Linked DNA regions of Kluyveromyces lactis. The protein of the gene in region 7 purifies or fractionates together with the protein of the main gene of each other region. This does not show direct contact. Links are inferred from orthologs where the notes say so. Each region holds a gene or a part of one and is shown on either strand. Other genes may lie near its edges.

The links.
Region 1: the proteins of RSA4 (region 7) and RPF2 purify together in Saccharomyces cerevisiae (affinity purification with mass spectrometry; 3 studies listed by BioGRID, with this or other methods). This does not show direct contact. The link is inferred for Kluyveromyces lactis from reciprocal best matches to the Saccharomyces cerevisiae genes RSA4 and RPF2.
Region 2: the proteins of RSA4 (region 7) and ALB1 purify together in Saccharomyces cerevisiae (affinity purification with mass spectrometry; 4 studies listed by BioGRID). This does not show direct contact. The link is inferred for Kluyveromyces lactis from reciprocal best matches to the Saccharomyces cerevisiae genes RSA4 and ALB1.
Region 3: the proteins of RSA4 (region 7) and NOG2 purify together in Saccharomyces cerevisiae (affinity purification with mass spectrometry; 8 studies listed by BioGRID, with this or other methods). This does not show direct contact. The link is inferred for Kluyveromyces lactis from reciprocal best matches to the Saccharomyces cerevisiae genes RSA4 and NOG2.
Region 4: the proteins of RSA4 (region 7) and CIC1 purify together in Saccharomyces cerevisiae (affinity purification with mass spectrometry; 3 studies listed by BioGRID). This does not show direct contact. The link is inferred for Kluyveromyces lactis from reciprocal best matches to the Saccharomyces cerevisiae genes RSA4 and CIC1.
Region 5: the proteins of RSA4 (region 7) and ARX1 purify together in Saccharomyces cerevisiae (affinity purification with mass spectrometry; 12 studies listed by BioGRID, with this or other methods). This does not show direct contact. The link is inferred for Kluyveromyces lactis from reciprocal best matches to the Saccharomyces cerevisiae genes RSA4 and ARX1.
Region 6: the proteins of RSA4 (region 7) and MRT4 purify together in Saccharomyces cerevisiae (affinity purification with western blotting; 5 studies listed by BioGRID, with this or other methods). This does not show direct contact. The link is inferred for Kluyveromyces lactis from reciprocal best matches to the Saccharomyces cerevisiae genes RSA4 and MRT4.

What each region holds. Positions count from the first base shown.
Region 1 is NC_006037.1:704,979-707,823, reverse strand, and holds RPF2 (rRNA-binding ribosome biosynthesis protein RPF2), read right to left. Parts: upstream 1,536-2,845; coding exon 501-1,535; downstream 1-500. Other genes in the region: MTD1 (methylenetetrahydrofolate dehydrogenase (NAD(+))), read left to right, coding at 1-363; NUP133 (Nup133p), read left to right, coding at 1,971-2,845. UniProt on the Saccharomyces cerevisiae protein: Required for biogenesis of the 60S ribosomal subunit.
Region 2 is NC_006041.1:1,345,430-1,347,618, forward strand, and holds ALB1 (Alb1p), read right to left. Parts: upstream 984-2,189; coding exon 501-983; downstream 1-500. Other genes in the region: ribulose-phosphate 3-epimerase RPE1, read left to right, coding at 1-364; DUF5427 domain-containing protein MTC1, read left to right, coding at 1,644-2,189. UniProt on the Saccharomyces cerevisiae protein: With ARX1, involved in proper assembly of pre-ribosomal particles during the biogenesis of the 60S ribosomal subunit. Accompanies the pre-60S particles to the cytoplasm.
Region 3 is NC_006039.1:1,670,945-1,674,840, forward strand, and holds NOG2 (putative GTPase NOG2), read right to left. Parts: upstream 2,523-3,896; coding exon 1,716-2,522; intron 1,236-1,715; coding exon 501-1,235; downstream 1-500. Other genes in the region: CCR4-NOT core DEDD family RNase subunit POP2, read right to left, coding at 1-46; RNA-binding ATPase activator ESF2, read right to left, coding at 2,892-3,773. UniProt on the Saccharomyces cerevisiae protein: GTPase that associates with pre-60S ribosomal subunits in the nucleolus and is required for their nuclear export and maturation.
Region 4 is NC_006042.1:2,032,635-2,035,687, forward strand, and holds CIC1 (Cic1p), read right to left. Parts: upstream 1,632-3,053; coding exon 501-1,631; downstream 1-500. Other genes in the region: ELF1 (Elf1p), read left to right, coding at 2,534-3,049. UniProt on the Saccharomyces cerevisiae protein: An adapter protein that specifically links the 26S proteasome to its substrate CDC4 which is one of the substrate recognition subunits of the SCF E3 ubiquitin ligase complex. Required for turnover of cell cycle regulatory proteins CDC4 and GRR1.
Region 5 is NC_006042.1:1,098,206-1,101,856, reverse strand, and holds ARX1 (putative hydrolase), read left to right. Parts: upstream 1-1,435; coding exon 1,436-3,151; downstream 3,152-3,651. Other genes in the region: PDA1 (pyruvate dehydrogenase (acetyl-transferring) subunit E1 alpha), read right to left, coding at 1-428. UniProt on the Saccharomyces cerevisiae protein: Probable metalloprotease involved in proper assembly of pre-ribosomal particles during the biogenesis of the 60S ribosomal subunit. Accompanies the pre-60S particles to the cytoplasm.
Region 6 is NC_006038.1:1,184,309-1,186,746, forward strand, and holds MRT4 (mRNA turnover protein MRT4), read right to left. Parts: upstream 1,218-2,438; coding exon 501-1,217; downstream 1-500. Other genes in the region: SHU1 (Shu1p), read left to right, coding at 1-407; putative ubiquitin-protein ligase UFD4, read left to right, coding at 2,119-2,438. UniProt on the Saccharomyces cerevisiae protein: Component of the ribosome assembly machinery. Nuclear paralog of the ribosomal protein P0, it binds pre-60S subunits at an early stage of assembly in the nucleolus, and is replaced by P0 in cytoplasmic pre-60S subunits and mature 80S ribosomes.
Region 7 is NC_006039.1:748,529-751,784, forward strand, and holds RSA4 (Rsa4p), read left to right. Parts: upstream 1-1,208; coding exon 1,209-2,756; downstream 2,757-3,256. Other genes in the region: mitogen-activated protein kinase kinase kinase SSK2, read left to right, coding at 1-681; IMG2 (mitochondrial 54S ribosomal protein mL49), read left to right, coding at 3,043-3,256. UniProt on the Saccharomyces cerevisiae protein: Involved in ribosome biogenesis. Required for processing and efficient intra-nuclear transport of pre-60S ribosomal subunits.

The DNA.
Region 1 (2,845 bases), on a different chromosome or scaffold from region 7:
TCTGTTGATATCAACAACATTCAGAAGTTCACACGTGGGCAAGGTTTGAAGTTTACGAAACATCATGTAGAAGACTTGGGTGCATATTCAGAGGAGCTATTGAAGGAATGCTGTAAAGATGCTGACGTGATAATAACAGGTGTTCCTGGTGAAAAATACAAGTTCCCTACTGATTACATTAAAGAAGGCGCTATCTGTATCAATTTTTCCTCAGAGAAGAATTTCGATGAGTCTGTGAAATCAAAAGCATCGCTATACGTTCCAAGCACCGGTAAAGTAACCATCTCCATGCTGTTGAGAAACATGCTCAGATTAGTAGAGAACAAACAAAAATTGCAAAACCGTTCAGCCTCCACGAATTAAGGCAGTGGATCGATCAAAAAAAAAAAAAGAATTATACTCTATTTCACCTTTATCTCATATATATGCGAATGTGTATGTATATGATTAGATATGTATATGAATTATATTATACAGTCAGTTTTTATTGTCAATGGAATTTATTTCTTTTGCTTCTTAGCAGGTGGAGCATCGATATCTGTTGCCGTTACGAATTCTTCACCGTAAGTGTCATCGACATTTTCTTGATCAAGATCGCCTTCAACTTCTTCTAGGTACTCTTCCATATCCGAATCCACTTGATCGTATTTAGCCTTCAAACCCTTCATCTTTCTAGTTTGCAATTGACCCAAATCTTGCTTACCCACATGCACTCTACCGATCTTATCACCCATAGTATCGATCTCAACGTTCTTAGCAACTCTGACTTCCAATTGTCTAGGTTTCTTATGGGCTTCCTTGACCATTTCTGGAGATGGAGTGTGAATTCTTCCGATCTTGAAATCGAATCTTGGACCAATCTCTTCCAATTCCACTCTAGGTAACTTCTTACCACCTTGTTCGGACTTGTAAGTCTTCAAGTGATACACTCTGAATAGAACATTTGGTAATGGTTCACCGTCTTGGAAATCACCTTGGACAGTGATAGAAATGATATGTTGCAAACCTGCAACATCTTGCAAAGTGGTATTCTGACCTCTGAAAAAGTCAAGGAACAATGATTTGATATGCTGGTAAACTGGATGTTGTTCAAAGGCTGCACCTTGGAAACTGAACATTGGCTTTAACCCAACGTTAAAAGTTTGTTTTCTGAAATCAGACAAAAGTTTATAGTTTTCTGCAATCTGCAACTCGATAATATCATAGATCTTATACCCAAACGTACGAATAAAAGTCAAATTGTTTCTTCTCTTCTTAGAATGTGTGCTCAACACCATAAGCGATGTATCATTCTTTTCAGATAAAAACTCTAATGGTTCATAATCTTCAAAAGGTCTGATGTTGTTCTTCTTGGAGAATCTCTTGATATCAGGCTTCTTCAACGCACTCAAATCAACCATTGAATCATGCAACAACTTGGTAGAAGTTTGACCAGGAATGAATAAAGCTTGCTTTACATTCTCAACCAATTTTGCTTCTTTTTTATCCAAAGCCCTTTTAGCACGGGCATTCTTAGGCTTTACTGTTCTGATCATCCTGGTGTTTACGGTGTCTTGATACAAATCACAACAATTACACCTTATAGGATAGAAATCTGAGCCAAAAGATGAACTATGTAGACTGTAACTTAGCTCATCGCATTTAGCTCATCGCATCGATTTGTTCCAGTTTAAAGATTTAATTTTCCAAGTTACTTGATAAGTGAAAAGAAACTATTCCAAAGTCACGTGGCGGAAAATGTTTCACGTGACATCACTTATGACGATTTCTTTGGCGACAATGAAAACAGAAACATTGACCAAGATTTTAAACAATGAGCATCAGAGAGTCTATTTACCTTTATAATTACAGCAATGCAAGGTCAAGCTAGGTTCGGCTAACAAGGTAGTGGATCAATTGAGATTAGAATTTCAAAGTTTTACATTTGGTGATTCTTTTGGCTTTTTTTTTCAGTGTCAAGATAGTACAAGATGAAGCAATTGTTTCAGCTCAGGAAAGAGCTTAGTGTACCAGCAGCAGCACCAGAGGATTCAGTAATCTCTGCTGAGGAAACGACAACTGGTTCTGCTGTCACCAATGTACAATTTTCGAATGAACAAGTTATCACAGAGAATGGGAAGTATAAGGTATCGAAGTTAGCGCCAAGTTTAAGTTTTTTGCCCAGTAATGTGGAATTATGTTGTAGCGTTGATGCAAAATCTGGGTACGCCTTATGCTGCGATACTGATAATGTTTACGTTTGGCCATTTTTATCTTCTGAAACACACCCTAGTTTTGTAAGGATTCCATTACATGACGAGGAATATGAATCATGGTCCCGTCCTCCATTATGTTGCTTTACGTGGCCTAGTGTGCTCGAACGTGACTTGAAATCAAGCCCTGGCTTATTTTTAGTGAACAGTAGATCCGGTGACATTCAATTCTATGAAGATGTTGATACTGTGAGTCAAGTGGCAAGTTTCTTGACGCAAACCAAACGTCATAAATCAGTTTTAAAACTACGTGACGGTGAATATGTAGAGAATTTGATTAATGCAGAACCAGCTGGAATATTACTTTCGACAAATTACGGGCGTGTTGAGTTTTGTACTATAAGAGATGCTAACGGGAAACCTTTTGTATCGCTAAAACAAACCATAATAAAATGTCAAGTCGGAATCTTTTCATCCATGTCCAAATCAAAGAGAGTGGTATCTCTCAAATTGGGCGAAATCAGCGGTAAAGGAGAAAGAATAGTTTCTATTTTAACCCAGGGCGGGCGATATCAGGTGTGGAACCTTTCATCTGTTGGGAATTGTTACAAAAAGATCGATTTAAATGTACAGTCTGAAATTTCACAGGCAGT
Region 2 (2,189 bases), on a different chromosome or scaffold from region 7:
GAAGCATGGTATGAAGGCTGCCTGTTCTGTGAAGCCAGGTACCCCTGTGGATGTGTTGTACGAGTTGGCACCATCCCTGGATATGGCTCTTGTAATGACTGTCGAACCGGGTTTCGGTGGCCAAAAATTCATGGCCGATATGATGAGCAAAGTGAAGGACTTGAGAACTAGATTTCCTAATTTGAACATTCAAGTCGATGGTGGTCTTGGTAAACAGAATGTCGAACTTGCTGCCGAGGCAGGTGCCAATGTCATTGTTGCCGGTACCTCTGTGTTCCGCGCGCACGACCCAGCAGATGTCATTGGATTTATGAAAACCAAGGTCAATGATGCATTAGTGACCAAAGGTTTATACGAAAAGTAGTAAGTACCTAAGTACATATACGCACTCTTTTTTATGTCAGAATAATATTTAATGAACGATCCGTTTAAGATCTATCCTAGTATACAAAATGTTTATATAGACAATGCAAACCCCATTTAACGATTTTTAAGACTCTCTACAAGAAATACTGACCACCTAGAGTTGTACCAGAACCTGTCTGAAGGGATAAACCTTGAGATTGAATATCTTCCAACACCGTGGAAATAGCCTCTCTCATCTTTTCCAATTGTCCTTTCTTGGTTTCCTTCTCCTTCTTCACAACAGGCGCATCAATCTGCATACCACCGTTTTCCTCACTTTGAGATTGTAGATCAACTAATAGTTTTCTTTGTTCCACGTATTTCAAGTTACGTTCGATCTTCTTTGCTCTTTTCTTCGAAAGAGTCTTGGTCGTAAGAGCACCAGAGGTCGAATGCTCGCCTTTGTAAAGATCCAATGGTATACTCTTCAACTGACCAGATTTAGATGTTCCTGAAGATCTTGCTGGTGCCAATAAACCCTTCTTTTCCATAGCATCTCTCTTGGCAGCACGTTGATGAACCTTACGGTTCAAGTTAACCTTTTGCTTTGGCCTGTTAATGGAGTTCTTAGATGGCATCTCGAATTTTAGTACTGTGATTAACCGTTAACTTGTAGTTCCAGGAATACTAGCCAGTACTAAGAGTAACAAGTAACAAGATAGCTAGCACAGGTGAATAGTAACGGGGGATCAAGTACATGGTATGGAGATGCATTAACTTTTCAACAGATTCGCGATGAGATGAGATGAAAAATTTTAGAAAAGAAACGGCAGTACAAAATAGATACGGTATTAGTTAATGAAAAATGCTAAGATTTAAGCCAAGACATGCCGACATTGGTACTGGAGAGCACCATCTATGGAAGGGGTAAGAATAGGTGGTGATAAAGGCCACGGTGCTCATTACATTTCGGCTAACTGCTCACTTTATGTATACCAGCGTTATTTCATGGTAATGAAAGTGACATAGTTACCCGGATATTTAAATACGACCCACCCTTAGAATGGACCAATACATGAAAAAAACACACGGTAGTTGGAACCATGACAATAGAGAAAGGATAGAAACTATATACTTGTGTTCACAAGGATTAGGAGGCTAGTTTAAGTTCAACCGTTGGAGTTTTGTCTTGCCTTTCAGCGATAATTTTCTAGTTTGAATATATCGATTCTTGATTGAACAATTCGTATCAATATTCAAGTTTTATCGACAGTAAAGACTTAAAAAGAAAACACCAAATGACTAGTGATGCCGATGATGTGCTAGAGTTTTTAGACTCTTTACCAGCCAGTACTGCTAATAACACTAAGGGAAAGGGTAAGGTTAGTGGGAACGGCGGCCAGGATGAGGATATTATGGAATTCTTAGACGAATTGGAAAATAGTAACCTGGATATTAAGAAGAAACCGTCCAAAAAGGACAAGCCACAATCCTCTAAGAAGCAAGAGAAAGAGAAACCGGAGGAGAAGCCAGAATCGAACGAGAAACCTGTAGAAGAGACAGCCAGTAAAGAGAAACCGAGTGAACAGAAAGGAAAAGAAGAACATGTGGCAGAAGAAGGTGAAGAGGCAGTTCAGGACCCACTGGCGTCAATTTCCAATTGGTGGTCATCTAGCGGTTCTGCTACAGTATCCAGTTTCTGGAACAAGACCACAGAACAAGCCAATCAATTGAAAGAGAAGATAGCTACTCAAGAGGGCAACTTGAAAATAAACGACATAGGGGCCAGATTAACGGCATTGCAGGGGTCTCATGTCATTTCTGGGCTTACTTCACAATTGACT
Region 3 (3,896 bases), about 920 kb from region 7:
GCTCCGAATTTGGCAATCCTCCGAGCTGACTATTAAGAGATTGCATTAAAATTCTATCGTACTTACTGGAGTAGTCCTAAATGACAACTCTTAAATCAGAATTGAATCGTATTCCAACCATATATGTCTCTGTCTCTTCCTTATCTAATGCTAAAGGCTTTCCTGTTTCGTTCCTCTTTGGCAGAAACAGAATTTTCGAGGGAAATGTCATTGTGTACGGTGTTGATATTACCACTGGCACCACTTCTCAATGGACAGTGGACCCGAATGGGTCCATTGTCCAGTGTTTCTGCCCCTGATCTGCATGCTTCACAACGTTCGGTGTTATCCAGCCTTTCTACTATTTATTTAATAAATTTCTATGTGCAAGACTTAGCCTAAGTCATCCGATTGATATTAATGTACAAAAACGATAGATCCGATAAGATTGTATATGGTGTGTCTATATATAAAGCGATGCCCGTGTCTGGAGAGAATTAAATATTGAGGAAGTGTTTGGTTTATTCCTTTTTGGCCTTTTTAGAAACAGGTTCTTCTTGTTCCTCTTGCTCCTTCTCTTCCTCTTCTTGATCTTCTTGATTTTCCTCTGCAGGACGTTTCTTATCACCAGGTTCCTTTTCCTCAATCTTGTCCTTCTCTGGTGGTGGTACGAACCATGGGATCTTACCTCTGTTGAAATCGTTCAAGATTTGTTTCGATACCCCGCTTTCATCTGGTTCACCACCTTTCAATAGTCTACCTTGCTTTCTTGCAATCATTTCGATGAAATCTACAGAGTCTTTCCATCCGGAGATCTCATAGGTTCTTTCCAAATGTTGTCTCTTACAACGTTTTAGAATACCTGGAATGTATTGTTCAGGATGCGAAACGTGTTCAACTCTTACCACACCTCTGAATAGAATATCCTCTTCACTGTCCTTGCTGGATGGCGGTACAATACCGGGACAATCGATTAAAAAGATTCTCTTCATCAAAGTTATGTATTGCCACACCTTAGTTTCACCAGGAATAGGTGCCACTTGACAGACCTTCTTTTTCCTTAGAGTGTTGATGATTGAGGATTTACCGGTGTTTGGATATCCAATGAACCCAACAGAGATTTGATGTCTGTCCTTATGCAGTTGTGAGAATTGACGTAGAAGTTGAATTAACGAACCCTTACCAAATGAATTGGTAATAGAGGCATGGAATGCCAATGTGGGACGTTCCTTCGATAGATGTTTTACCCATGCTGCCTGTTGAGAATCAAAAATAGGGAAAATCGTGTTAGTAAAATTGTAATCACATATGTGAATCAATAACCAATTATGCTTTCTACTGGGGGTTGACTCCATGCTGTATTGAGTATATTAGTGGTGATGTGAGGTTCTTTACTACGAGCCATGGCATAATAATTCTTTTCAGATCCAAAGCTCAACTCTTAAGTTCCTCCGTACCCGAAATAAAAGCGCTGATATATCCTCAAAACGAAGATTGTTCAACTAGGTTTCAACCATGACTCCATCAAAACGATGGATAGATCGAGGGTGGGTAGTATTGCTCTTCCAAAACTGTAACAGGCCCTTCTGTATGTGTAAGTTGTACTAGAATGTACGCAGAAACACCCTGACAAAGAATTTTGGTATTCTCAAGATACTGTGGTATTCACTCCCAGTTAGAAAGTATAATCGGTTAGTAGTAATCACTGAAGATTAAAAAGAAAGTTTAAAACATACGGCAACCCATGTAGGAACAAGATCACACTTGTTCAAGACGTATATCAAATGTTTATGAGGAGTCTCATTGGTCATGTAATCAGTCACCGATTTACAACGAGTCCCCAAAGGATCTCTAGCATCCAATACGTGGATGACGACATCGGAGGAATCGATAACCTTGTACAATTCGTTCCAAATACGTTTCGACTGACCTTTGTGGAAAATGGCTTCCTTTGCTGCCTGCGTCCAACCGTCTTCTTCCTCTTGCTTACCCATAAGCCCCAGAGTAGAATCCAATTCTTGCTTTTCTTCAAAAGTCTTATTATCGGTAGAAGTACTTGAAATCAACTCTTCCAACGACGACGCAGCGATTCTTGGTTTCTTCCTCTGAGCCTTAGGCCCAAAAGTTTGTTCAAAGGGCTCTGTCTCCAAAATCTTTGCCGTTGGAGATTCAGCGGAATCCTTTTCGTTCAACAACGACATCGGAAGTTTATTTCTTCTCAATAGCACCTGATAAGAATCACGCTTGTTCTCGCCCAAAGCTTCTCTGAAATGGCTCAATGAATCCTGAGAAATAACTCTGGTATTACCAAACCATCTACGGTCAGGAGCCACTCTTGCTGTTGGAGCAGCAGTATCCTGCAACGGAGCAGCCTTGATAATGTCACCCTTTGCATTACGAACAGATCTACCACCTTTGTACATGTTCAAAAACTGCACTCTCTTGGTGTCCCTGTAGAAATTCTCACCCTTCACACGAAGGTTACCATCCTTGGTATTACCTTCGCGGATTCTCCTTTGCTTTTCCTTCTTACCGGTACCCATTGTGCCTTGGTATAGATTTCAATTAGGTTTCCTTTGGTTCGTTCGTTTGTTCGTTCTTTGTGGTAACGAACACGTTCAATTTCGATCGAAAACTCAAACAGATGGAAGAATAAGTAACTGAATGTCTCTTGCCTGGACTGAGATCAACCTGAATCGAAACAAACCACTGATGAACCTGCCTTTGTTCCTGTTCCAATTCATGAGATGAGATGAGATGAGCTGGAAAATTTTTTCTTTTCACTTTTTCTTACACTATGGGAATGAAAAAGAAACCTGATCTTTGACCATGGGAATGGCAGGCGATGAGTTGTACTCTCTGTAGGGCTTTTGGCTTGGCTATATGCTTTATATATGTGTTATATAGTCATCTTAGAATAAACTATGCATGACATCGTTGAGTGCTTTCGATTGCGGTTGGGATTGTCTCTGAGAATCTGGAGCAGATGCTCTTGTCGAAGCGACTTTCCTCTGTTTGAAAGTCCTGCGAACTTCTTCATCGACCTGCTGTGATTCTTGTTGGTTACGTTTCTTGCTCTGTTTCATCTTGTTGACCATCTTTGATTTCTCTACGTTATGGATGAACTCTGCGTTCAACTTGTTGGCCTGTGAGATTTCCAATTGTAGCTTTGCTTGTCTGATATCGTTTTCTCTAGCGATTTGTTCTGTCAAATCGGCCCATTTGAACCCGGGCAAGTATTTAACGTTCATGACGTCGTCATGGTAGAAATTTCCCTTCTTACCACCGATAATATTACCGTTTAGAGTCGATGCGCACAGTTTAGCGTCCTTCTTTCTGATAAACTCGGCCCAACCTTCTTCAAACATCGTTTTCTTGTTCCCACCACTCTTGACACGCTGCTGGTGCTTGTGCTCCTCTTCACGTTTCAAGAACAGACGGTCCACTTCACCGAATCTTGTGAGAATCTGCCTTAGCTTGGCTGGTTTCATGTACGGTGGAACCCTCGATAGGTAAACCACACCGGTCTTGTGTTTCGTCTTCTTATCGCTCTTAAGCTTTTTGAGTCGTCTCTGCTTTTCTTTCTCTATCTGCTGTTCTGTGAGTTGTACTACCTTATCCTCCGGTTCTTCTTCATCCTGTACTTCCTCGTCCTCTTCCTCTTGCTCTTCCTCGTCCTCTTCTTGATCAAACTGAATCACATTCTTCTTCGCATCCTTCCCAGTGATCAACACTTGGTTGTCCTCTTCTTCGTCTGACGCAAAATCATCCACATCGCTGTACTCCTTGCTCATCGTGTTATTGTTGTCCTTAGTTAACCTGCTGAACCTTGTGGTCTGTTGTCTCTTCTCTCATGTATATGGTTCATCTCATCTCATCTCATCTCATCGCTTTAGTTCCAAATTTTTCAGTATGGC
Region 4 (3,053 bases), on a different chromosome or scaffold from region 7:
AACTACGAATAAGCACGAATAACAGAGGTGATGATGTGAAAGTTTGTGAAATCTGTGGTTTATATAATATTTGACATATGTTTAATATAGTAATTAAATCTTTTTGTGACACTTTTATTTTTCGTTTTTCCTTTTCCTTCACTGACTGCATGGACGCACCAGTCCACACAGAAAAACCAGCAAACCTAAATGTGGCACATCAGAAAAGTTGTTCGAGCGGCGATGGGTTTGCACCATCCAAACAATACTAGGAATAACGTTTTCCTGCTGGTTCGAAAACGCACTGAATTTAACTACTGTTATTCTTTTATGAATTGCAAAGTATCGATGCTATCTGGAAAATTTGAGTACAGATTAAATACATTTTGTAGGGAAAACTATCATTGTAGGAGCGGTGACAGCCGTTAAATCTATGCTAAATGGGTAAGTTTTAAGACGATATTTGTGAAGGATAGAAATTAAGAAAGAGGAATGAAAAAAAACGCGATACTCCTGTACCTCTAATTTTTTACGTTTTTATTCTTTGTCTTTTGTCTTTTAGCGCTGGATTTTTGTTCTTTCGTTTGCTCTTTCTTTTGTTCTTCTTGCTCTTCTTCTGCCTCGACCTCTTCCAAGTTTCTTTTGGCTTGCTTAATTTGCGTAGCAAACAAGGAGTCTAGTTCGTCTGGATTTGCAATTTCTAACAAAGATTTCTCAAATTGTGATAGTTGCAATTCGACACCATCAATTTCTATGACATTTTGAACGGAAGTCTTAGCATCATGTCTGGACCCAACCAATTTGTCTAATACTTCCAAATTAACGTATAATGGAAGGACTGGTGATTCGTTAGATTTGAGAAGAATGGTTCTGATATTGTACTTTTCGATGAACTGTTTAGCGACAGAAATGATATTTTCAGTCAATTGTTCTGGGGTGAACCATTCCAATGAACCTAGATGAACATTCATCGTGTTACCTCTTGGAAGTTTGACTGGGATTTTAGTATCATAAATTCTCTTGATGCTATTTACCAAAGTTGTCTTGTTAAACTTGTTATCCGATCTTGTGTTAATGGCAATTGGAGTGGTATTCAACTTACTGTATGCTTTACCACCTAATAGCTTGGGCAAAGCTGTCACTATCGAGTCATCAGCTAGAATGAAAGAAAAATCCTGTACAAATGCACGCCTCTTTTCAAAAGCCTTGTATTTTGTCTTCAAATCTTTACCAGATATGATGGCATCAATAGTAATATGTTCTGGAAGTAGATCGATCAAGTCTTCTGATGTCACTGAATTGATATCAGAATCTTTTAGAATCAAAAGAGTCTTGAAATCTTTAACCATGGTGGTGCTAGCTTCCTTCCATGGCTTGAAGATAGAATGAGGAACTGTAATTAGTTTTGGTTTGAAGTTTTTCAAAGAACCAGTAAAAGATTCAGTGTTGACTAGGATCAACTGTAGCTGAGCCTCCAATTCAGAATCATCAATTAACTGATTGTCATTTGATCCATTTTCCTTCAAATATTCTTGCAATTTAATAACAGCATTGTTAACTCTGTTAACTGGAATGACTTCTTCCTCTTTACTGCCCTTAGTAGCCTTGGTGGCTTTGGTCGAAACCTTGCTTTTCTTAGTTTTAGTTGCCATATTATCTAAACTTTGATATTGCTTATAATGTGCTTGTAGATATACTAGACTGGATGAGTGGAGTTATTTCCTCTATATTCTGGATTCTTTCCAAGCGTTTTTTAACTTACTTGATTCGCACTGTCTCAGAAAAAGATCAACAAATTGTTGGTTCACCTAGGTAAGCTTACTTCTCGAGTTCGTACTGGCAACTATGAAATATCCAGTATATATCTAATCAATCCTTTGAGCTGAGAAATAAGAATAGGTACTTAAATACTTTACATACCATTACTTTATTAATCGTGTTAGGTGTGCAACATACTTCGAGATGAGATGAGATGAGCTATGATGAGATGAGCTCTCTATTGTCAAAAATAAAAATTTTCTGTTTCGCAGGAGCTCCACTGTGTTCACGTAGTTAGTAAATATTGCTTTTTGAAAGCGAAGGCCGTAATATATGATTTGAAACTTTTCTTGAAATTTGATAACATTTGACACTTAAGAAATAAAGAGTAACCGAATCTGATATTGAATCTCGGTGCGTGTTTGTGCAAAAGTTACTAATGAGCAACGGGCTACGTTCAGTGAATGGGGTTACAATACAAAAGGGCTTAAACTGTGTATTTTAGGGTTTCTTTCTCTGGTTTATTTCGGAACAGTACTATTTTTGAGTTAGGTTTTTTCGGCTGTCAAACAGGACTCACGATCGATATAAAGGATACCTTAACAGAGAATACGCCGCACGAATCTGATTTATGAGTTATTAAGTTGCTATTATTATTATTATTATTATTATATCGTAAACATAGTCATCGTCCCCGTTCATTTATACTGCAAAAGGCATATTAGCATATATTAATCAAATCTAGCCGCAGGGGTAAGCATACGCTCTCACAAGACAAATAAGAAGAGCATTAGACATGGGTAAGAGAAAGAAGTCATCCAGAGGTCCAGCCAAGAAGATAGTACAGAGGTTAGATACGGCATTCAATTGTCTCTTCTGTAATCACGAACGCTCTGTGAGCGTAACAATGGACAAAAAGAATAACATTGGCTCGCTTCATTGTAAGATTTGTGGACAATCGTTCCAAACCCGCATTAATGGTCTATCACAACCGGTAGATGTATATAGTGACTGGTTTGATGCGGTTGAGGAAGTTAACGAAGGGAAACATAGCGAATCTGAAGATGAAAACAGTGACAGTGACTACGAGAGTGACTCTGATACTGAGCCTTCTTCAAACCGTAGAAAAGCTGTTGGAATAGATTCTGACGAAGAAGAAGAAGAAGAACAAGAAGAAGACGAAGATGCGGATTACGGAAGAAAAGGAGCGACCGAACGAAAAGACTCAGAACCAGAATCAGACTCAGACGATGACGGTAAAATATCTAACAAAAGAGGAAGAGCAGCATGGATGGACAGTGATGACGAGTAGTCGA
Region 5 (3,651 bases), on a different chromosome or scaffold from region 7:
ACAGCAGCACCTCTCATGTAGGTGAAACCATGACATCTGTAAGAGGTGATGACGGTATCACGCTTAGTGATAGCGTTTTCAATACCAACGGCAATGGCTTCTTGACCGACAGAGGAGTGACAGAAACCTCTAATTTTCTTAGCCTTGTACAAAGCGTCACAGGCCATTTCCATTCTTCTAACGATAATCATATCCTTGTACATTTGTAGCAAATTGGACTTGGTGGTTTGATAACTTAATTCAGGAACATCCAAAAGATAACCTTCAAAAGAGGTTTCTGGCAAATCAATTTGAACTAGGTCATCATCACCTGGCTTAGTTTCATCAGCAACCTGGGACAAAGCACGGACGTTTTTAGAAAAGTTTCTAACCAATCTCAAAGAGCTGGACTTCCCAACCACAGAGGATTGAGCTTTCAAAGATAGCATGGTTTGCCTAATTTATTGTTCTTTTCGGTATTAACTACTATAGCGACCAACAATTAGAACACACAAATACACACTCAGCAGTAGTGATGGCAAAATATGTTGTATAGAGAAGAAATAAAGAAGAAGAAGCTCTGAGTTCCTGATTCTATATTAAAACAAAAAAAAGCCAACTAATGAACGATTCCTTGTTCCAAAAAATTTGACAAAAATCAATCAATCAATCAATCAGTCAGTCAATTAATCAATTGCTTGGCTCAGTATCACTGAAAGACCAAAAAAAGGTTCTTAATCACGCAACAACTGTTTCTCATCATATTCACAATTAAATCCGCCTTTAAATACTTGTGAACTTGGGAAAAAAACTTCAAAAAATTTCGTAGCCAGCCAGTCGGTATAGATAAGGGACTTGAAATAACAAGAAGTGGGTATAAGCAAGGTCAATTTTGCTCTAATTGGGGTCAAACTTGAACCGTTGGGTAGCTGATGATGCGGAGAGTATTGATATTCTACTTATTATGGGATATCTGACAGTTTCGTCTGGTGTAGGTAGAGTTTATTGTGCTGATTCAATTAGACAGACGGGATTGTTGTTAGAAAGAGTGGGAAAAGTGACGTGCACAGCGCGGTGTTTGGGTGGAACATGGGCAGCAGATCTATTACCCGGATAATATGCGGGTCATGAGTTCTAATGATACACATTACCCGAATATTAATACTTTTGGCGCACGTGATCAGAAAGTGATTTCTTTTTCATTCTCTTCTGATCGAGGTCCGGGTAATATTTTGGAAAATTTTTTGAAATATCTTAGTGCTGTGTGGCAGGAAAGGTTGTATCCAGGAAAGAAATTTGGAAAAAAAAAGTATCAGTGAAAACTTTAAAGCGATGAGATGAGATGAGGTAAAGAGAAACGAGGTACATACTTACATCATTATCATAGTGTATCGTTCCCTCCTTTGTATCAGAAAACAGCTAATACTAATAATTTGTGGATAAAATTATCCGTACTATGGCGTTACAAATCTCAAAGGAAGACACTCAGGTGTTATTGAAAGATAAGAATGTATTGATCGAACCAACAATTGAGAAATATAGAACTGCAGGTCAAATTGCTCAGACTGCTTTAAACTTTTTGATCAGTTTGATCAATAAGATGTATCATGAGAAGTCTATGGAGCCGCTACCGATTCATCAACTTTGTTTATTGACTGATTCGTTCATAGCCGATTGTTTAAGTACTAAGTTCAACAATAAGGTTAACGAGAAGGGAATCTCAATGCCAACTTGTATTGATATCGATGAAATAAACGAGAACTGGTGTCCTGAAGTGGATGACATCGAAAACTTGTCCCGTTGGAACCAAAAATCTAGATCTACCAAATCGATCGAGCTATGTAACGGTGTTACTTCTAGTTTGTCTGGGTTTTTGAAAGTTGGTGATGTCGCTAAGATCACTTTGGGTTGTCACATCGATGGGTACACTTGTAACGTGTCCCACACCGTGGTCATTTACCCAACCGTTCAGGATGCCCAATCTGGAAAATTGCTACCTGAAGCTGCTTTGCTAGGTGGTAAAGCTGATGCTCTAGCTGCCACCCATATCGCTGTTGAGTCCGTCACTAACTTATTAGCTGCTGCAAACGATTTGACCAAACTTCCAGCTGATTTCAACGCTACGAAGGTCACTGGTTCCTTGATTAGGACCGTAGTTGACACCATTGCTCAATCTTATAATTGTTGCGTTGTGCCTGGTTCTCGTATCAGAAGAATCAAAAGATTCCTTTCTGGTCAAAACGAAAATATCATTGTCGAAAGAGACTTCAAAGGTGTCATTTGGACTGAGTCTCATCAGGAAGCTGCTATGCTTGCTAGAACCGTCAATGAAACTGCTGTTGATGTCAAGCGTAAGAACCCATTTATCACCGAAGATACCGTGGTCCCAACAGATGATTTTACCGTTGTCAAGGGTGAAGTTTACATGATCGATTTGAAGTTGGCTCCATTGCAAGGATTGGAGCCAGGTTTGATCACTTTACACACTGTCGATCAATTCTCCGGTAAATCTGAATCCTCTGATGTGGTGGCTAGACCAGGTGCCATCTGCCGTGATTTTTCAAAGAGCCATGTTCTAAAGTTAAGAGCTGCTAGACAAGTGTTGACCAGATTGGATAAACAAGGTGTATACCCTACCAAATTAGCTCATATCGCTGATTCTTTCCCATTGGACGTACAGGAGCCTGATTTCGAAACCATCAAGCAAGAAATCAAGCCATTCAGATTAGGTCTTTCTGAAATTTCTAACAACTACCTAACAATCGACAGAGATGTCACCATCGTAAAACACGTTCCTTGGGCTAAGATCTTGGATCTAACAAACCCATCCGGTGTGTCAAGTTATGACGCCATGGCAAAGAATAAAGGTTTATACCCAGGTTTCGAGCTTCCTCTACCTAAACTAGGTTTGTCCAACCTACAGTTGAAATCCTTGCTAAAAAAACACTCTACGCCAGTTCCTGTGGTCCGTCAATGTGTCACTGTAGCCATCTGTGATGAAGAGTTGCTAAGAATCAGCGGAAACCTAAAATCTAACTGGGTTCATTCTGTTTACTCTATGGATACTGCAAGCAATATCGTTGCAGGTATATTCAAACTGGCTCAATTGTCCGAGGATAAGAGATTTGGTTTGAAGATCAGAGAAACTCAACCATGGAAAATGAAATTCTAATTTATTCATTACCAGTATTAACTACCTTCTTTGATAGAACTACTTCAACAGATAACAAATTCTATTTCATACACAAACACCCTTTTCGCATCTGCACACAATAACTCTACATTGATACACCAGTTCATATTATATTCAATACTCGTTTGATTTCGGTAGCCCAAGAGTCTTGTTCTTATGAGTCTTTATTCTTACCAACCAATTGCAACAAAAACAATGTATAAATAGCAACTTCTAAGTATCTTGTAGATCTGTACACTAGCAAAATCATAATAGAACTCAAGCTCTCAACTTTGTCATTAGTTCTTCTACTATTAGTGTGTTTGCTTCGGAAGGATTATCAAAACGTTCAAAATGATGGCGGCTAATTAGATTTTAGTATAAAAAGGATTTGGAGTCAGAAACCAAATCAACAAACCCAACTACCAATGAATATGACATAGCGAGATATCTAGTGCACATAACTAGGAGCGAGAAGGTGATCCTAAAAACCAATAACT
Region 6 (2,438 bases), on a different chromosome or scaffold from region 7:
CGCATTTCTTTAACAGTATTGATGATATAGTCAGGGGACGATCCAACGTGCGGATTCTGTTCCTTGATAAATTACAGTATTTATATATGTACTTGACATATGTCGAGATTGAGCTCCAGAATAAAGGAAACACATCGATGTGCTATGAAGAAATTATCATCTACGGTTTAGAGTCCCTGTTAATGACGAAAGAACAATTGGAATCAGAAGAGACACAGAAAACTCTTGATCTGTCAATCTCCCAGCTGCGACATTGTAACCTCATCCTTCATGGATCGCTTCGACTGGAAAATCAGTACGCTGTGCGTATCAGAATGGTGTCAGCGACAGATCTGGGAATGATGTCTCAAGGTTGGAAGAATCTGACCGAATATTGGCAGTACGTGTATTCGATAAAGGATTCCTAGAGAAGAGATTAATGTACAAAGGAGAAATATATAGGTTATGATTATATATATATATTTATAGTTTATCACTGCAATGCTTTCTTATTTTTGGATTTATTTCGAATCCATGTTGATATTGATCTGTTCCACACTAGAAGTTTCGTTATCGTAGTATGCGGCAACCTTCACCCTGAATTCAGCAGCTGCTATACCAAATTGTTTCAAGATCAATGCTTGAGTAACATCTAGAGTTTTGCCCTTTTCACAGACCAAGTATGGAGATTCGATGGTAATCTTACCATTCTTAATTTTGGTTGGAATCTTGAACTTGTTTCTTAGAGTTGGTTCCAGAGAATGTATCATAGGCACATCTTCTTCTTCTGGGATTTGACCACCACGAGAGTATACAATACCGGCTGGAATGGTAAAAGACAATGGAGCCTTTGATTTTGGTCTGGAGAAATCAGCTCTCACATATGCCTTGAAGTAATCTTCCACTACATCGACAGGTTCGTTGGTAAATAATAGACCAGTAACACCAGAACAGTGCTTACATAGTTTGGCCAAGTTCTCCTTGTACTCTTCCTCTGGCTTTTCACCTAACGCTTTCACCAACACCTTCCTCTTACCCATGATTAACTTGGATCCAACCCAAGAACTTCTAATCTCTTGCAAAACTGGAGTTCTCACATCTTCCAAATGTAAAACCCAAGCGTATCTGAAAGAATCCAAGGCTTCTCTAACTTCATCGAATATCCTTTCCTTGTTCTCTCTACCCTTCTTATCGGTTTGGGCCAATGTAACCAACTTTGAACGCTTAGATCTTGGCATCGTATCTGGGTTGGTATATGTAGTAGCTTGATGATAAAGAGTAACGAAAAGTAAACAATTATCAGAACACTATTCAATTACAGAAGAGAGATAAATAAAGAGGAATACAACTGATAGAATATAGCGATTAGTACTGTTGATCAGTTTAAACTATGAAAGGTCCATCGAGTAGATGCGATGAGATGAGCTTTCTCAAACTGAAAAATTTGCGCCTTTCTTTTTCTTTCTAGTTGTGAGTCACGTGATTTGATTTTTCCAAACGGAAAGTAACGACCTCTGACACAAAGTGAATCGGTAAGACATATACCGGCTCTTTTGCAATGCTCTAGGGCCATTCTCATAAGCTCGGTTAGAGAGGTTTATTCTAAGGAACTGCAAAACCAAACTCCGGTATGAATTCCCTTGACTGATTTCTGAGTCTCTCACTCATTGCCAATGAGACAATAGATCTCAATTCAACACAAATATCAAGACTAGAAAGGCACAGATAGGGCATGATCGTGTATCGGGCAAGTAGATATAGTGGTAATGATTTAACCTATTACCGGAGATGTATTGTAAATGGGGAAGTAAACTTAGTCACGTGACTCATTACTTGTGGCGACGGGTATTGTGTATATTTTCCTCAGATAAAACCGCAGTGTACCGGACCAAAATGTACCTTAAAAGTTCAGAGTCAGGAAATTGCAATCTCAGTACATATTTAGCAGGAAACAAACTAGTTGGTTTGATATGAACAGCCGGCGAGTTAAACATACCTCTTGTATTGCTTGCCAAAGTCTAACAACCTCTAAGATACCAATTATTAAGGTGGTAAGAGATACCGGGTTGTGAACTAGAAATTTTAGATAGTAATTTTGCCTCTTATTTGTGATTTGAAACAGGAAAGGGTTTTGAAAAGATGAGTTATTACGATGGCGATGGCGACTATATCATATATGAAGATGCGAACGGTAGCCATGAAAGTGATGATGTTGAATCTGGCGAATATTCTTATCCAGAGGATGAAGATGATTTAGAGTTTGTCCATCACGATGATGATGATGATGAAGACGAAGACGGGGAAGAAGATGGATCGCAAGGAGAGCAGTTGGACGAAGATCAAGATGAAGATCAAGACGATGAGGAAGTAGAAGGTGAGATAGGGAATGTTTATCATGAAAGCCGTTCTGGGGACCGTGCGGACAGGATTTCGTTTCTACAAGATATTGTTTCTCGTCT
Region 7 (3,256 bases):
GTGGAAGTTCACAGAGACAAGGTTAATATCTTTATGGAATTCTGCGAGGGTTCCTCCTTAGCCAGTTTACTCGAACATGGCCGGATTGAAGATGAAATGGTAACTCAAGTTTACACACTACAATTACTTGAGGGATTGGCATGTTTGCACCAATCTGGAGTTGTGCACAGAGATATCAAACCGGAGAATATCTTATTGGATCGTAATGGCGTTATCAAATATGTAGATTTTGGTGCCGCAAAACTCATTGCAAAGAACGGATCAAAGAGGATATCACTGGATGCCAATAACAAATCTACAGGCGGGAAAGATATGATCGGAACACCGATGTATATGGCACCAGAAACGGTGACTGGTCAAGGACACGGAAAATTCGGATCCGATGATATATGGTCTTTAGGTTGTGTTGTACTGGAAATGGTGACCGGTAGACGTCCATGGGCTAACTTAGACAATGAATGGGCTATCATGTATCATGTTGCAGCTGGTCACCTTCCGCAATTCCCAACCAAGTCTGAAATTTCATCTGCGGGTAGAAAGTTCATAAGCAGATGCTTAATACAAGATGCCAATAAAAGAGCAACTGCAATGGAATTGTTACTTGATCCCTGGATTTCTCAAATACGTAACATTGCATTTGGTGGCAATGCAGAATCTTTTAATAATGAAACTCATAACTAGTTCTGATAGACATAAAAGTTTCCTCCCCATGACGATCATATGTAACAATTGTAACCATAGATTTTTTTTTTGTATAAGTATTGTATGTATATATAATAATAATAGGAACTTTTGTTTGACTTTTTTTTAAACAATGCCGGATCCGTATAGTATCAATGTAACATGCACTTTCCGTTATCTGTGAGTTGCTTGCCAGTAAGTAAATTGCAGTCTAGGAATTTTTTGTGCCTGATGCTCCCCATAAGGTATTCAGAGCATAGTTTCAACATAATAAAGATTTATATTACCCGGAAGTGGTGAACTAAAAGAAATTCTTAAGTTCAAGAAAATCTTTTGAGATGCCGATGAGATGAGATGAGATGAGCTTCAACTACCAAGTCGACTTCCCTAAAAAGGAGAAGGTTCTGGTGAACGATATTAGTATTCCAGCAATAATCACAGGTCTTTTCTCGAAAGAAGTTTTTAGGTAATTAAACGAGCCCAAAATAATTCTCTGAATTTGTTAGGCCAAGCAATCCAAACGAAACATGGCAACCTTACTCCCACCGCCTTCAAAGAAGCAAAGAAGAGAAGCTCAAGCTGAACGTGGAGTTGACCTTATTCCCAAAGACCTTCCAAATGTTCTCATTAAATTCCAAGCTTTTGACAGTGGTGAAACTGTTGGAGGTTCTCTAAGGGTTCCAGGTGGTATTTCGGAGCAGCAACTGGAGGAATTGTTGAATCAGTTAAATGGAGACTCGGCAGATCCTGTTCCATACACGTTTAGCTGTTTAGTTAGCAACAAAAAGAAGGATGCAGATGAGGAAATGGTAGATATTAGAGATAATCTATATCAATCCATTTTAAAACCAGGTTTGAAAACTACCGAAGATTTTTTGACTCTAGTGTATACCCCAAGAGCTATCTTCAAAGTAAAACCAGTAACTCGGTCGTCTTCTGCAATTGCTGGTCATGGCTCGACAATTTTGTGTTCTGCATTTGCTCCAAATACAAGCTCCAGGATGGTTACCGGTGCTGGTGACAATACTGCATGTATCTGGGATTGTGACACTCAAACGCGTATGTGCACGTTACAAGGCCATCACAACTGGGTCCTATGTTGTTCCTGGTCTCCAGATGGTGAATTAATCGCCACAGGTTCTATGGACAACACAATTAGATTATGGGAATCAAGCAAAGGTAAGCCTTATGGTGATGCTTTAAGAGGTCACTCGAAATGGATTACCTCCTTATCTTGGGAACCAATCCATCTTGTCAAACCTGGTGACAAACCGAGATTAGCAACTGCATCCAAGGATGGAACTATCAAAATCTGGGATACAACAAGAAGAGTTTGCCTTTTAACCTTATGTGGCCATACGTCTTCTGTTTCCTGTGTCAAGTGGGGTGGAAAAAATGTTCTATACAGTGGTTCTCACGATAAAACAATCAGATGCTGGGACATGAATTTGAACGGTAAATGTATCAATATCCTAAAATCACACGCCCATTGGGTTAATCATCTTTCACTTTCAACAGATTATGCATTAAGACTCGGTGCGTTCGATCACAAGGGCGAAACTCCTGCTTCACCTGAAGAAGCCCAACAGAAGGCTCTGAAAAATTACGAAAAAGTTGCTAAAAGAAAAGGTGACTTCGAAGAACTGATGGTAACTGCCAGTGACGATTTTACTATGTATCTGTGGAACCCCTTGAAGTCTACTAAACCTATTACCAGAATGACCGGCCACCAAAAGCTCGTCAACCACGTTGCATTTTCGCCAGATGGCCGTTACATTGTTTCTGCATCCTTTGACAACTCCATTAAATTATGGGATGGAAGGGATGGTAAATTCCTATCCACCTTTAGAGGACATGTAGCGAGTGTCTACCAAGTAGCTTGGTCAAGCGACTGTAGACTACTCGTTTCTTGTTCCAAAGATACCACTTTAAAAGTCTGGGATGTCAAAACTAGAAAACTGTCCGTCGATCTACCCGGTCATCAAGATGAAGTCTACACTGTAGATTGGTCTGTAGACGGTAAACGTGTATGTAGCGGTGGGAAAGATAAAATGGTCAGGATATGGACTCATTGAGTGGATCCACTGCATCTGAATAATTAGCATGATTAAATTATAGACTGCCTTATGTATGTTATAGCTTCTTTTACATTTATTATGAGGTGCACAGGTGTCCCTTCTTCTTACAAGCTGAAAATTTTGAAAAATTAAAGCTTCAAGCATAGTTGAAAAGATGAAGAACGATTCAGCCGGCATTTACCATAGGAAATCGATAAGTTATCTATATAGTAAGAAAGGTGTACACCGGGAAAACCTGCATAACCACACAACAGCCTACTAATAATACAACGGCTAGTTAATAATGCTTACAAGAGTTACAAGAAGTTTTGCGGCTATGAGCCCAAGATCATTTCGGATTTGTACTAGACTACAATCAACCCAAGCACAGCAACCACAACAACAGGAAAACTCAGAAATTGAGCTTTTAAATGAACTTAAATCAGAAATGGACAAATTGGGACCATTATCTGATGCCGAAAGTGCCGAACTCAGTGCTTTATTTGACAGTCAAAGTC